Linked DNA regions of Arabidopsis thaliana. The protein of the gene in region 1 interacts with the protein of each later gene in a biochemical or structural test. Each region holds a gene or a part of one and is shown on either strand. Other genes may lie near its edges.

Region 1 (3,754 bases):
CATTAATTTCTACTCCAAATCACAGCTTCCGTTTGATTCTCGTCGAGCTTTTGAAGATAGCCCACAAAAAAGTTCGACGACTTGGAGTTCAATCATCTCTTGTTTTGCCCAGAACGAGCTTCCATGGATGTCACTCGAGTTTCTTAAAAAAATGATGGCGGGAAACCTTAGACCTGATGATCATGTTCTTCCATCAGCTACAAAGTCGTGTGCGATTTTGAGTCGTTGTGATATTGGTAGATCAGTTCATTGTCTATCGATGAAGACTGGGTATGATGCTGATGTGTTTGTGGGGAGTTCTTTGGTTGATATGTATGCGAAATGTGGAGAAATTGTTTATGCGAGGAAGATGTTCGACGAAATGCCTCAGAGAAATGTTGTTACTTGGAGTGGGATGATGTATGGGTATGCACAAATGGGTGAAAATGAGGAAGCTTTGTGGTTGTTTAAAGAAGCTTTGTTTGAGAATCTCGCTGTTAATGATTACTCGTTTTCGAGTGTTATTAGTGTTTGTGCAAATTCGACTCTACTTGAGTTAGGTAGACAGATTCATGGATTGAGTATTAAGTCTAGCTTTGATTCTTCTAGCTTTGTGGGAAGTTCTTTAGTCTCGTTGTATTCAAAGTGTGGTGTTCCTGAAGGAGCTTATCAAGTTTTTAACGAGGTGCCTGTGAAGAATCTCGGGATTTGGAACGCTATGCTCAAGGCGTATGCGCAACATTCACATACTCAAAAGGTTATTGAATTGTTCAAAAGGATGAAGCTTTCTGGAATGAAACCAAATTTCATAACTTTTTTGAATGTGCTCAATGCTTGTAGTCACGCGGGTCTAGTTGATGAAGGGAGATACTACTTTGATCAGATGAAAGAATCGAGGATTGAGCCGACGGATAAGCATTACGCTTCCTTGGTGGATATGTTAGGACGAGCTGGTAGATTACAAGAAGCACTTGAAGTTATCACTAATATGCCGATTGATCCCACGGAATCTGTATGGGGAGCTTTATTAACGAGTTGTACAGTCCACAAGAACACAGAGCTTGCAGCATTTGCAGCAGACAAGGTCTTCGAATTAGGACCAGTGAGTTCCGGTATGCACATTTCGTTATCCAATGCTTATGCAGCCGATGGTAGATTCGAAGACGCAGCTAAAGCTAGAAAATTGCTTCGAGACCGAGGGGAAAAGAAGGAAACAGGGCTAAGTTGGGTTGAAGAAAGGAACAAGGTTCATACATTTGCAGCTGGAGAAAGACGTCATGAGAAAAGCAAGGAGATATATGAGAAGCTGGCTGAGTTAGGGGAAGAGATGGAGAAAGCGGGTTACATTGCAGACACAAGCTATGTTCTGAGAGAAGTGGATGGTGACGAGAAGAATCAAACCATAAGGTATCATAGTGAGAGATTAGCTATTGCTTTTGGACTGATCACGTTTCCAGCTGATAGACCGATCCGAGTAATGAAGAATCTGCGTGTTTGCGGTGATTGCCATAACGCGATCAAGTTCATGTCCGTATGTACGAGACGAGTGATCATTGTGAGAGATAATAATCGGTTTCATCGGTTTGAAGATGGCAAGTGTTCTTGTAATGACTATTGGTGAAGAAGACAAATGAGAGTTGGTTTATATTTAACCATAATTTCATTCAGTTCACACTGAACCGGCGAAATTTCTTTGCCAGACCTATTCGGAATTGAAACAAGTGGAGTCTCGAAACGAAAAGAACTTTCTGGAATTCGTTTGCTCACAAAGCTAAAAACGGTTGATTTCATCGAAATACGGCGTCGTTTTCAAAGAACAATCCAGAAATCACTGGTTTTCCTTTATTTCAAAAGAAGAGACTAGAACTTTATTTCTCCTCTATAAAATCACTTTGTTTTTTCCTCTCTTCTTCATAAATCAACAAAACAATCACAAATCTCTCGAAACGCTCTCGAAGTTCCAAATTTTCTCTTAGCATTCTCTTTCGTTTCTCGTTTGCGTTGAATCAAAGTTCGTTGCGATGGCGGATGTTCAGATGGCTGATGCAGAGACTTTTGCTTTCCAAGCTGAGATTAACCAGCTTCTTAGCTTGATCATCAACACGTTCTACAGCAACAAAGAAATCTTCCTCCGTGAGCTCATCAGTAACTCTTCTGATGTAAGTTTCCCTTCAAATCTCTCTCTGCTCGGTGTGACTCGTCCGCTTCCTATTTTCTTGCATGTTGTTTGTTCTTTAATTCCTGGATTCGTTGATAGCGTTGGATTCGTAGGTTTAGCGTTGTGATTGCTTATTCAAATAAATCGTGATTTGGCTTGTGCATCACGTTAAGTTTAGAATTCTTAGCTTGTGCTCGATCTTCATGTGTTGTAGTTACATATATAGAACGGTTCTTGCTTCGATGTAGTCTTTGATTTACCCTAGAGGATTGAGGAAAGCTTCTGATTATCTTTGTTTATATGAATGGTTTTGTAGGCTCTTGACAAGATCCGATTTGAGAGCTTAACGGATAAGAGCAAGCTCGATGGACAGCCTGAACTCTTCATTAGATTGGTTCCTGACAAGTCTAATAAGACGCTCTCAATTATTGACAGTGGTATTGGCATGACCAAAGCAGGTAACGAATCAATGCCTAATAATCTCTCGTTGGTGAGATGTTTTAGTGTATGTGCTGTGGTTATGACTCTCTATTATTTTTTCAGATTTGGTGAACAACTTGGGAACCATTGCGAGGTCTGGAACAAAAGAGTTTATGGAGGCGCTTCAAGCTGGAGCTGATGTAAGCATGATAGGACAATTTGGTGTTGGTTTCTACTCTGCTTATCTTGTTGCAGAGAAGGTTGTTGTCACTACAAAGCACAATGATGATGAACAATACGTTTGGGAGTCTCAAGCTGGTGGTTCCTTCACTGTCACTAGGGATGTGGATGGGGAACCACTTGGTAGAGGAACTAAGATCACCCTCTTCCTTAAGGACGATCAGGTAAGGAATCGTAGCTTTGAGTGTTTTGGGGATTGTTTCTTTTCTTTTGGTGTTTTCTGTGTTCTTACAAGTGTGTTTATTCATGCAGCTTGAATACTTGGAGGAGAGGAGACTCAAAGACTTGGTGAAGAAGCACTCTGAGTTCATCAGTTACCCTATCTACCTTTGGACCGAGAAAACCACCGAGAAGGAGATCAGTGACGATGAGGATGAAGATGAACCAAAGAAAGAAAACGAAGGTGAGGTTGAAGAAGTTGATGAGGAGAAGGAGAAAGATGGTAAAAAGAAGAAGAAAATCAAGGAAGTCTCTCACGAGTGGGAACTCATCAACAAGCAGAAACCGATCTGGTTGAGGAAGCCAGAAGAGATCACTAAGGAAGAGTATGCTGCTTTCTACAAGAGCTTGACCAATGACTGGGAAGATCACTTAGCCGTGAAACACTTCTCAGTGGAGGGTCAGCTAGAATTCAAGGCCATTCTCTTTGTACCAAAGAGAGCTCCGTTTGATCTCTTTGACACGAGGAAGAAGTTGAACAACATCAAGCTTTATGTCAGGAGGGTGTTCATTATGGACAACTGTGAAGAGCTAATCCCAGAGTACCTCAGCTTTGTGAAAGGTGTTGTTGACTCTGATGACTTGCCACTCAACATCTCTCGTGAGACGCTTCAACAGAACAAGATCCTTAAGGTGATCAGGAAGAATCTAGTGAAGAAGTGCATTGAGATGTTCAACGAGATTGCTGAGAACAAAGAGGACTACACCAAATTCTATGAGGCTTTCTCCAAGAATCTC
Region 2 (3,754 bases), about 14 Mb from region 1:
TTCAAGTCAAAAGTTATTTTTTCAATGTTAATATCAAAACCTCTGAGATAAGCAGAACTGAAAAGTATGACATTACCAGTAATGAATATAAAAATCCATACCTTAACACATCGGCAATTGTCTCATCTTCTGGGGAAACTTCATGGGCCTTGCTTAGATCAGAGACGGCATCCTTATAGTTTAAGAGAGTGAATGAGCATTGAGCAAACATATAGTCAGGACATATCTACAGTACAAACATATATATCGACAAGGAATCTCAAGAAAGTTCCATAAGCAACAGAAGAACTCACTTCAAACAAGCCCAAATCTCTGTAAGCTTGACCCCTTCTGTATAGGGCTTTGACATTCCTTGCATCATATCCCAAAACCTGAAATAATGTAAGAATGTAAATTTATCAGAAGAATGTCGAAACAGTTTTGAATAGATCATAAAACGCTGTATGACATCATGTGTTACATCTACAAAAAAGAAGCCAAAAGATTGCCATCTCTCTTTTTCCTAAAAATGTTTTCATCTATGAGTTTTCAGAAAATTAAGAGCATAAAGAATATACCTCAGAACCTTCCTTTATGCACTCTTCATGCTGATTCGTCTTCAAATAACACGACATTAGATTGAGAGAACAAGCCAACAAAATTGCTCCACCTTTAGAAGATGGAATCTCTTTCAGATTGTTCTTCGCCTGAGATATGGTCCAAGAGCATTGTAAACAAGTAGAAAAGAATCGCATATCAGGTTACAAATAAAACTCTTCTTGTCAAGTAGCATGACAAATGAGATACGTCTGCAGACTTACACGCAAGTATTTCTCTGCGGCATCGCTGAAATTTCCTCGGCTATGAAGCTCGTTTCCCTGCCAAACGTAGTAGAAAATGAGATTAACATCAAATTACACAAAGGTCCACTTGCTGAAGCCATTCTTGTTCCTTACTTTATAATCAGGAAAGCAAAATTCAATAGAAAACTTCTCTCAGGAAGTCAATTGTTACCTGTTTTTTAAGCATCTGAGCTGCATTGATCTGATAAGTAAATTGAGCATCAGCATGAGCACGCATAGCTGCAATATCTTCAGGGGAAGCTTTAGCCATCTTCTCGCTAATCTCAGCCATATCTTCAGGCCGAGTATGCTTAAGCTGTTCCGCAGCTTGTTTCAAATCTTCAGGCCTCATGTTCTTCATACTCTCTGTTGCCATATTCATCAAATCTGGATTTGACATCATCTGTATAATAAACAATGGTATAAATTCATCATACAAAGCCATAATCAAATCAAATCAAACAAATTCTCCTCAGAATCGATCGAATAATTCGAATCAGGAAAAATAACGAAACCTGTTGTTGGATCCTAGCGAAATCAGCAGGAGTCATACGACTCATCTGATCTTGAGCGAGCCGAATCATCTCAGGATCCATTAACCCGTTAAACATCGTGTTTTTTTTTCTCGAAGCTTCGATGTGGTTCTCTGTAATCAGATCGGAAACACAGAAAATCGAAATTCGCCAGAGAAGGATAAGCTCGGAATCTGGATCGAGATTGAGTTTGTGAGAATCGGAAAATCGAAGGAGAATTGTTTTGCCGACCCGAAAGTAGTTTCCAATAATATAGAATCGAATTGGAAAATTTATCGCTCAACCTCCTCAATTCACCGACCGGAATATGCCTGGATGATGGAGAATGACTGTTTTACCCTTGATCTACGATGATGCTGTGACGTGCCATAATAAATTAATTTACGTAATTGTATTGATTAACGTAACTATATGATTACGTGCAAATTGTCATGTCCTTGTCCATGTTGGAAGACTAATCTCGTGTTTTTTTTCTTCTTAAACTGAAACGAATCTCTTGTTAAACTCTTTTTTATTTCGTTTTAGAAAGAGTCGTCCAATTTAACTGTTACACGTGTTAAAGTGTCAATAAAATTCAATTTAAATTTGTTTGAGGGTACAAATAATTTTTTGATATTTTAAAATTCTTTAGGGTCTGGATATCGATATCATATGTTTGCCCAGCTACATCTCCATGATATAAGCTCCGAATGGTGATTGCGTTTTGCGGTGCGGGAGAAGTACGGTGCGGTTCAAATAGTAACGAAAATATATAGATACATATGAATATGTAGAGATTTTAATACTGTTACAGTACTGTTGCGGTGCGGTTTTAAGTGCGGTTTTGATTACCATTCAGAGCCATAATATATTTGTTGGAATCCAAAAATGTTTAGTATTCAGTTTCATAGACTCAATCTCTAAAGTAATCCATTTATTAAACTTTAAAATATGCATGTCTTCTGCAGAATTTTTAGTATCTTAAATATCAAAATGATCTTAACAAAAAAATACATATGTACAACTATTCGGGCAAAGAATTTTATTTCAATACGACAATCTTTTCAGTTGTTGAACGAGTTTTAGTGTTTTGACCATACAAAGAAAAAAGACGAGTTTTAGTGACATATAAGTTGTGTTTGGTAATACTTTTTTCAATATTGTTTCGATATAGTTTCATCGACGAGTACATCTATCAATTAATTTTTCTGAAATGTTTATTTCTCTCCACCGCAGCATAAATGTTTCAATGTTTGAAAGAATGGAAACGGTGGTATAGTCACATTAGAAGAGGACCACTTTGACTAAAGCTAGCTACAACTCTCATCTATCTCTCGTCTCCCAATTTTTCAATATTAGCAGAGATTATGATTCACTAAATGATAGCAGTCTGAGAGAAGTGAATGTTGATATGATTTATGATTATCAATTAACTAATCACTAAGTACTATTGCAGCGAGAACGAGGAAATTCTAGCAAACCTCTTCTTCTTGGTCACAATGAAACCAATGGATTAATAAAGTTATATCATATAACAAACAAGAAGGAAACAATATCTTCAACTTATAATTAATAAAGCAATATTGCTAAAGCATTCTGATACATGTTGTGCAACATCTCTCGAAGCTAGATTACAACATGCATGTGCTTCTAAATAGATTACAACAAAGCAACTTTTTAACATGTTTACACGAACCAAAATATGCATACACATATATAGCCTTGATTTTATAATTCACATAGCCCTTGTTATCCTTTAGAATACATCGTAGACACATTCTTACGTATTCTACTATTATATGGCAAAGCAATCTAGGATAATGAGTGAGTTGTATTTTTTGAATGTACCCTCTATTGTACAATGAAAACGAATGTAAATATTCAGTTTTGTTTTTGTTGCCCACATTTTATTGCCGTAAATTGCAAACTATTTTTTTAAAATTGATATGCTAGGGAAAAAATGAGTTAAAGAGCATGATGGAGGAAACAGAAAGAAGAAGGCTTTGAATTTTGATGGTTGTCGGGACGTGGAGAGGATCTCACGTGGCAGTTTCACTCTGATTGGGTCCTAAACCGCCGGCCCACGTGGCATGCCACTTGTCACTGGTACTTCTCTTTCTCTCTTTCACAGCAGCAAGTTGTGTACGATTGCTGTTCTTATTAGGATCCGTCACATCACTTCTCAGCCGGTCAGCCCCCACCTTCCTCCATTAACCCATCAATCCGGTCTTTCGTTTTTGTGTGTATGTTCTGTGGACTTGATTGGTAATTTGGTAACATTTACCATTTGAATGGTTGCTTACTAGCCTAACTTTTTGTTTACAAATGTGCAAAGAAGTTTTTTTTTTTTCTTCGCTTGTAGACTGTACTCTTATTCTGAAGACTAGATTTTGAAGATTCTATGGTGATTTCAGTTTTGGA
Region 3 (3,754 bases), 350 kb from region 1:
ACTGCTCTAAGTCTCGTAAGTTACCTAATATATGCAAACAAGCCTTTTCCATTCTAAGAGAACATACTTAAAATAATATTTAGTTCAAAACTGATTACCTGAAAATGCTGTTACAGGTAACGACTCCGTTGCTATTCAAGTTAATACCGAGTGCAATGAACCTCGGTGTCCTGCTTCGATGGTTCCCTTCTGAGAACAGTTCTCCGAACGAGGTCATTCTCTTTTCCAGATCTATTTATATTTAAGAACTGAGATAAGACATGACATAAAAATGAAAATAGATGTATTGATTATAGGAAACTGACTTGTGAGGTCGTGACTGAGAGTTTTGTTTGTAGAGTTTGCAGGAGAAAGCATCATTGATAGAAGTACATAACAGAACCAAGTGATCTCTCTTTTGTACATTGACTGAAGATTTAAGAAGAAAAAACAGATTTTGATCCGATATACTCAACTAGGAGGCAGAAAAAACATTTGAAACTGACCAAATCAGATCCAAGACTTGCTTTTTGTATTTTCTTAACTCTTTATTTTTTGTAATATCGTATATATTTAGTATTCACTACCTTCTTGTGTAGTTCAAGCGCTTATAGCTTGTTTTACTTGGTGTAAACGTTGTAACGATATTAGCCTTATATGCTGTTGTTTCTTTAATGTTCATCACAAATAAGAATCTCAATAGAAACCACAGAGTTCTATAATTGTGTGCTCAAACTCCACATATCTAAAGTGCGAGCAACAACTAGATGAATTTAGAGGTATAAATCCATTGCAATGCACAACAAAAATAACAAAAAAGAACCCTCCTTAGAAGAACAATGACATCAAAGTATAGAAAAGGATTGAGGTGGAATGAAGTAAGAGGCTGGTGAAATAGGAATTTAGTAGCACATATATGAGGACACGTGGAGCTTAGTGATTGGTTGAAATAAGAAAAGATACGTGGATTCGATTGGTATGAGCTGAAGTTGCTCAAGCTTAAGATCAAGTTGTTCATCGTCTTCTTCATTATGCAAAAATCTGAGAATTGTAAACTTTTCTTCTTCTTCCTTTCTTGTGTGTTTGGGGTTGTTACTCATTGTTAGTTTGAGATACTTCCTTCAATTCACTAATATTATTTATTTACGGGCAAATCTTAATGTGAGATTTTTGCATAGTGAGAAGTGAATCTGCGTTTTATGAACATCGTTTCAATCTATAGTTCGATTTCATTTGTGAGATTGTTGAGTTTCCTGTATCAGCTGGTTAAATAGCAAATCTACCATTCTTATCACCATTACGGAGATTGAATTTTCCGGAGTCATGGCTTTCCACGTAGTAGATGAAGTTTGGGGATAGGCCATACAAGCAAACTTGGAGACGGAAATATATACAAATAGAAAAACAAAATAATTAAGATTAGTTTTGCACAAACTTTGCAAAAACATCAAAATAGGTCCGACATTTAAATCACTTGCTTAGGTCTATAAAATAACACTCCCATCATTCAACATATTTTTCCTCTTGTGGGTTAGACCTACAAATCCGTGGATAAAACTCTTTAAAAACCTGTAATCTGTAACATATTGGCTTATTATCCATCACGCATGCTATTTTATGGACATGAAAATAATGTCCAAGCGGACCAAGCCCGCTCTGCATGGTATTATTTGGGCCGAGGCCCGTTTTACTCATCAGTTTTCATTACCGGTCAAAACTCAAAAGTCAAAATTTTCTAAAAGACGAAAAAGCCCTTTAATTTGATTTCCCAATACTTTTTACTCCTACCTTCTCAATTCGTCCGATTTCTTCACAAATTCACGAGAGAGATAATGGAAGTAGGATCTGCAACGAAGAAGCTTCAGTGCCAACGTATTGGCTGCAACGCCATGTTCACCGATGACGACAATCCTCAAGGTTCTTGTCAATTTCATGCTTCCGTACGTCTTCTTCTCTCCCCATCTTTAATCGATTCTTCTCTTTCTTTTCTAAGTCTTCGATAGTTTCTGATAAACCCATAGAGTAGCTTTTGAATTTGATTTTATGATGTGAGGTTACGAATTTCGATTTTTGATCATGAGAAGATGATTACGCAAGTGTTTAATTAGGTTTTGGATTAGCTGATTGATTACATGTAGATTTCATTTAGTTGTAAGTAAGTAAGCTTTGAACACAGCTTTGATTGTCTAATTGTCAAATTTTAACTAAGTTGTTTGCTTGCAACCTATGAATTCTGTGAGACTGTGAGCTTATTAGAACACTTGATGGAAGAAAGCAAAAGTATATTGCGTAAAATTGAATAATCCAAGTATTAGATCTTTTGCCACCGTTTATGGCTATGTGAGGGAGAGTGTACGTACATGCAGCGACTTTTGAATTGTTTGCTTCCAACTTTTGCCACCGGTTATGGCTATGTGAGGGAGAGAGCTCGTTAAGACTGTCCCTGGAAGTGTAATTAGAACAATTGTGTATAGAAAGAAGGCTTTATCTCAATATTCATCTTAACATTTGGCCTTGTATACTAGTGTTTCTTTCATATTCATCTATTGCTTTGAGCTTTTTATTGTAATTCATCTTCTTTTATTATCTTTTCTTTTTCCGGTGTGGCTGGGGCTGGTCTTTGCACTGACTACTGGTTTTTGTTCAAGCAGGGAGTAAGTCAAATTTACTCTTCAAATACTGTTTTATGTTTTTTTTTTTGTTTCACACTCGCTTGCTCAGAGAATTAAAGCTACCAAAGTTCAAACTTGCAGCCATTTTTTCACGACGGAATGAAAGAGTGGAGCTGCTGCAAGCAAAGAAGTCATGATTTCAGTTTGTTCTTGGAAATTCCAGGGTAACTAATATCCTTGTACCCCCTCATAATAATTCCTCTGTCTTTCATGGTACATATTGTAGTTGATTGCAAACACTGAAGATGTTTCTTGCAATGAAGATGTAAAACAGGTAAACACACAACTGAGAAACCAGTTCTGGCCAAATCGGTTCCAAAACATCCTGTTGCGGCTCCTACTTCATCTCCAGATGCCAATGCAGCAACAAAAGACTCTTGCTCCAGATGCCGGCAAGGCTTCTTCTGCTCAGACCATGGTTTGTATCTTTATTCTCTCGTCTTTAAATTCTCGTTGCACATTGGTTACATGCATGACCTTCTATCTAATTTTGTGTCCTTCTTTACCACACAGGATCCCAACCCAAAGAACAGATCAAGCAGACCCTGAACACACCGGGACAAGCAGAAGAAGAAAAAATTGAACCCTTAGCGCCTCCAGTACAAAAGGCTGTGATAGACATTAATCAACCGCAAGTCTGCAAAAACAAAGGATGTGGCCAAACATTCAAAGAGAGAGACAATCATGAGACTGCATGTAGCCATCATCCAGGTCCTGCGGTCTTCCACGACAGACTGAGAGGGGTAACACGTTCTTTGTTCAATCATTTTGTGACCCTTTTCTTTCACTGTTTGAATTTCTATTGAATATCACTGTTTTCTTTGTGTAGTGGAAATGTTGCGATGTTCACGTGAAGGAGTTCGACGAGTTCATGGAAATACCTCCTTGCACTAAAGGATGGCATAGCAGCAGCCCTGATCCGGCGGTCTGATATATTTTTTTTCCTGAGATTTTCGATTCAAAGATTAATCATCTTTTCTAATTGTGTTTTCATGTTCTTCTTATCATATGGAATTCTATTTTAGATTTGTTATAGAACCTTTCAGTTGACAGATATATGTAATGGTTAAATGCTCATCTTCTGTGTTTTGGATCATGATTAT

Evidence for each region.
Region 2: the proteins of HSP90.1 (region 1) and TPR7 form a complex in vitro, tested with the Arabidopsis thaliana proteins (one study listed by BioGRID).
Region 3: the proteins of HSP90.1 (region 1) and PBS2 form a complex in vitro, tested with the Arabidopsis thaliana proteins (one study listed by BioGRID).

Annotation. Positions count from the first base shown.
Region 1 is NC_003076.8:21,350,542-21,354,295, forward strand, and holds the start of HSP90.1 (heat shock-like protein), read left to right. Parts: upstream 1-2,015; coding exon 2,016-2,138; intron 2,139-2,453; coding exon 2,454-2,595; intron 2,596-2,680; coding exon 2,681-2,961; intron 2,962-3,049; coding exon 3,050-3,754. Other genes in the region: MEF1 (mitochondrial RNAediting factor 1), read left to right, coding at 1-1,600. UniProt on the Arabidopsis thaliana protein: Functions as a holding molecular chaperone (holdase) which stabilizes unfolding protein intermediates and rapidly releases them in an active form once stress has abated.
Region 2 is NC_003076.8:7,271,073-7,274,826, reverse strand, and holds the start of TPR7 (Tetratricopeptide repeat (TPR)-like superfamily protein), read right to left. Parts: upstream 1,757-3,754; 5' UTR 1,433-1,756; coding exon 1,337-1,432; intron 1,225-1,336; coding exon 994-1,224; intron 858-993; coding exon 801-857; intron 687-800; coding exon 558-686; intron 372-557; coding exon 294-371; intron 173-293; coding exon 102-172; intron 1-101. UniProt on the Arabidopsis thaliana protein: Plays a role in protein import into the endoplasmic reticulum (ER). May function as chaperone docking protein during post-translational protein translocation into the ER. Chaperone receptor mediating Hsp70-dependent protein targeting to chloroplasts.
Region 3 is NC_003076.8:21,001,201-21,004,954, reverse strand, and holds the start of PBS2 (cysteine and histidine-rich domain-containing protein RAR1), read left to right. Parts: upstream 1-1,668; 5' UTR 1,669-1,811; coding exon 1,812-1,919; exon of another isoform or gene 1,920-2,630; coding exon 2,631-2,633; intron 2,634-2,732; coding exon 2,733-2,815; intron 2,816-2,914; coding exon 2,915-3,069; intron 3,070-3,164; coding exon 3,165-3,394; intron 3,395-3,480; coding exon 3,481-3,582; 3' UTR 3,583-3,754. Other genes in the region: KEA5 (K+ efflux antiporter 5), read left to right, coding at 1-15, 117-212, 339-389.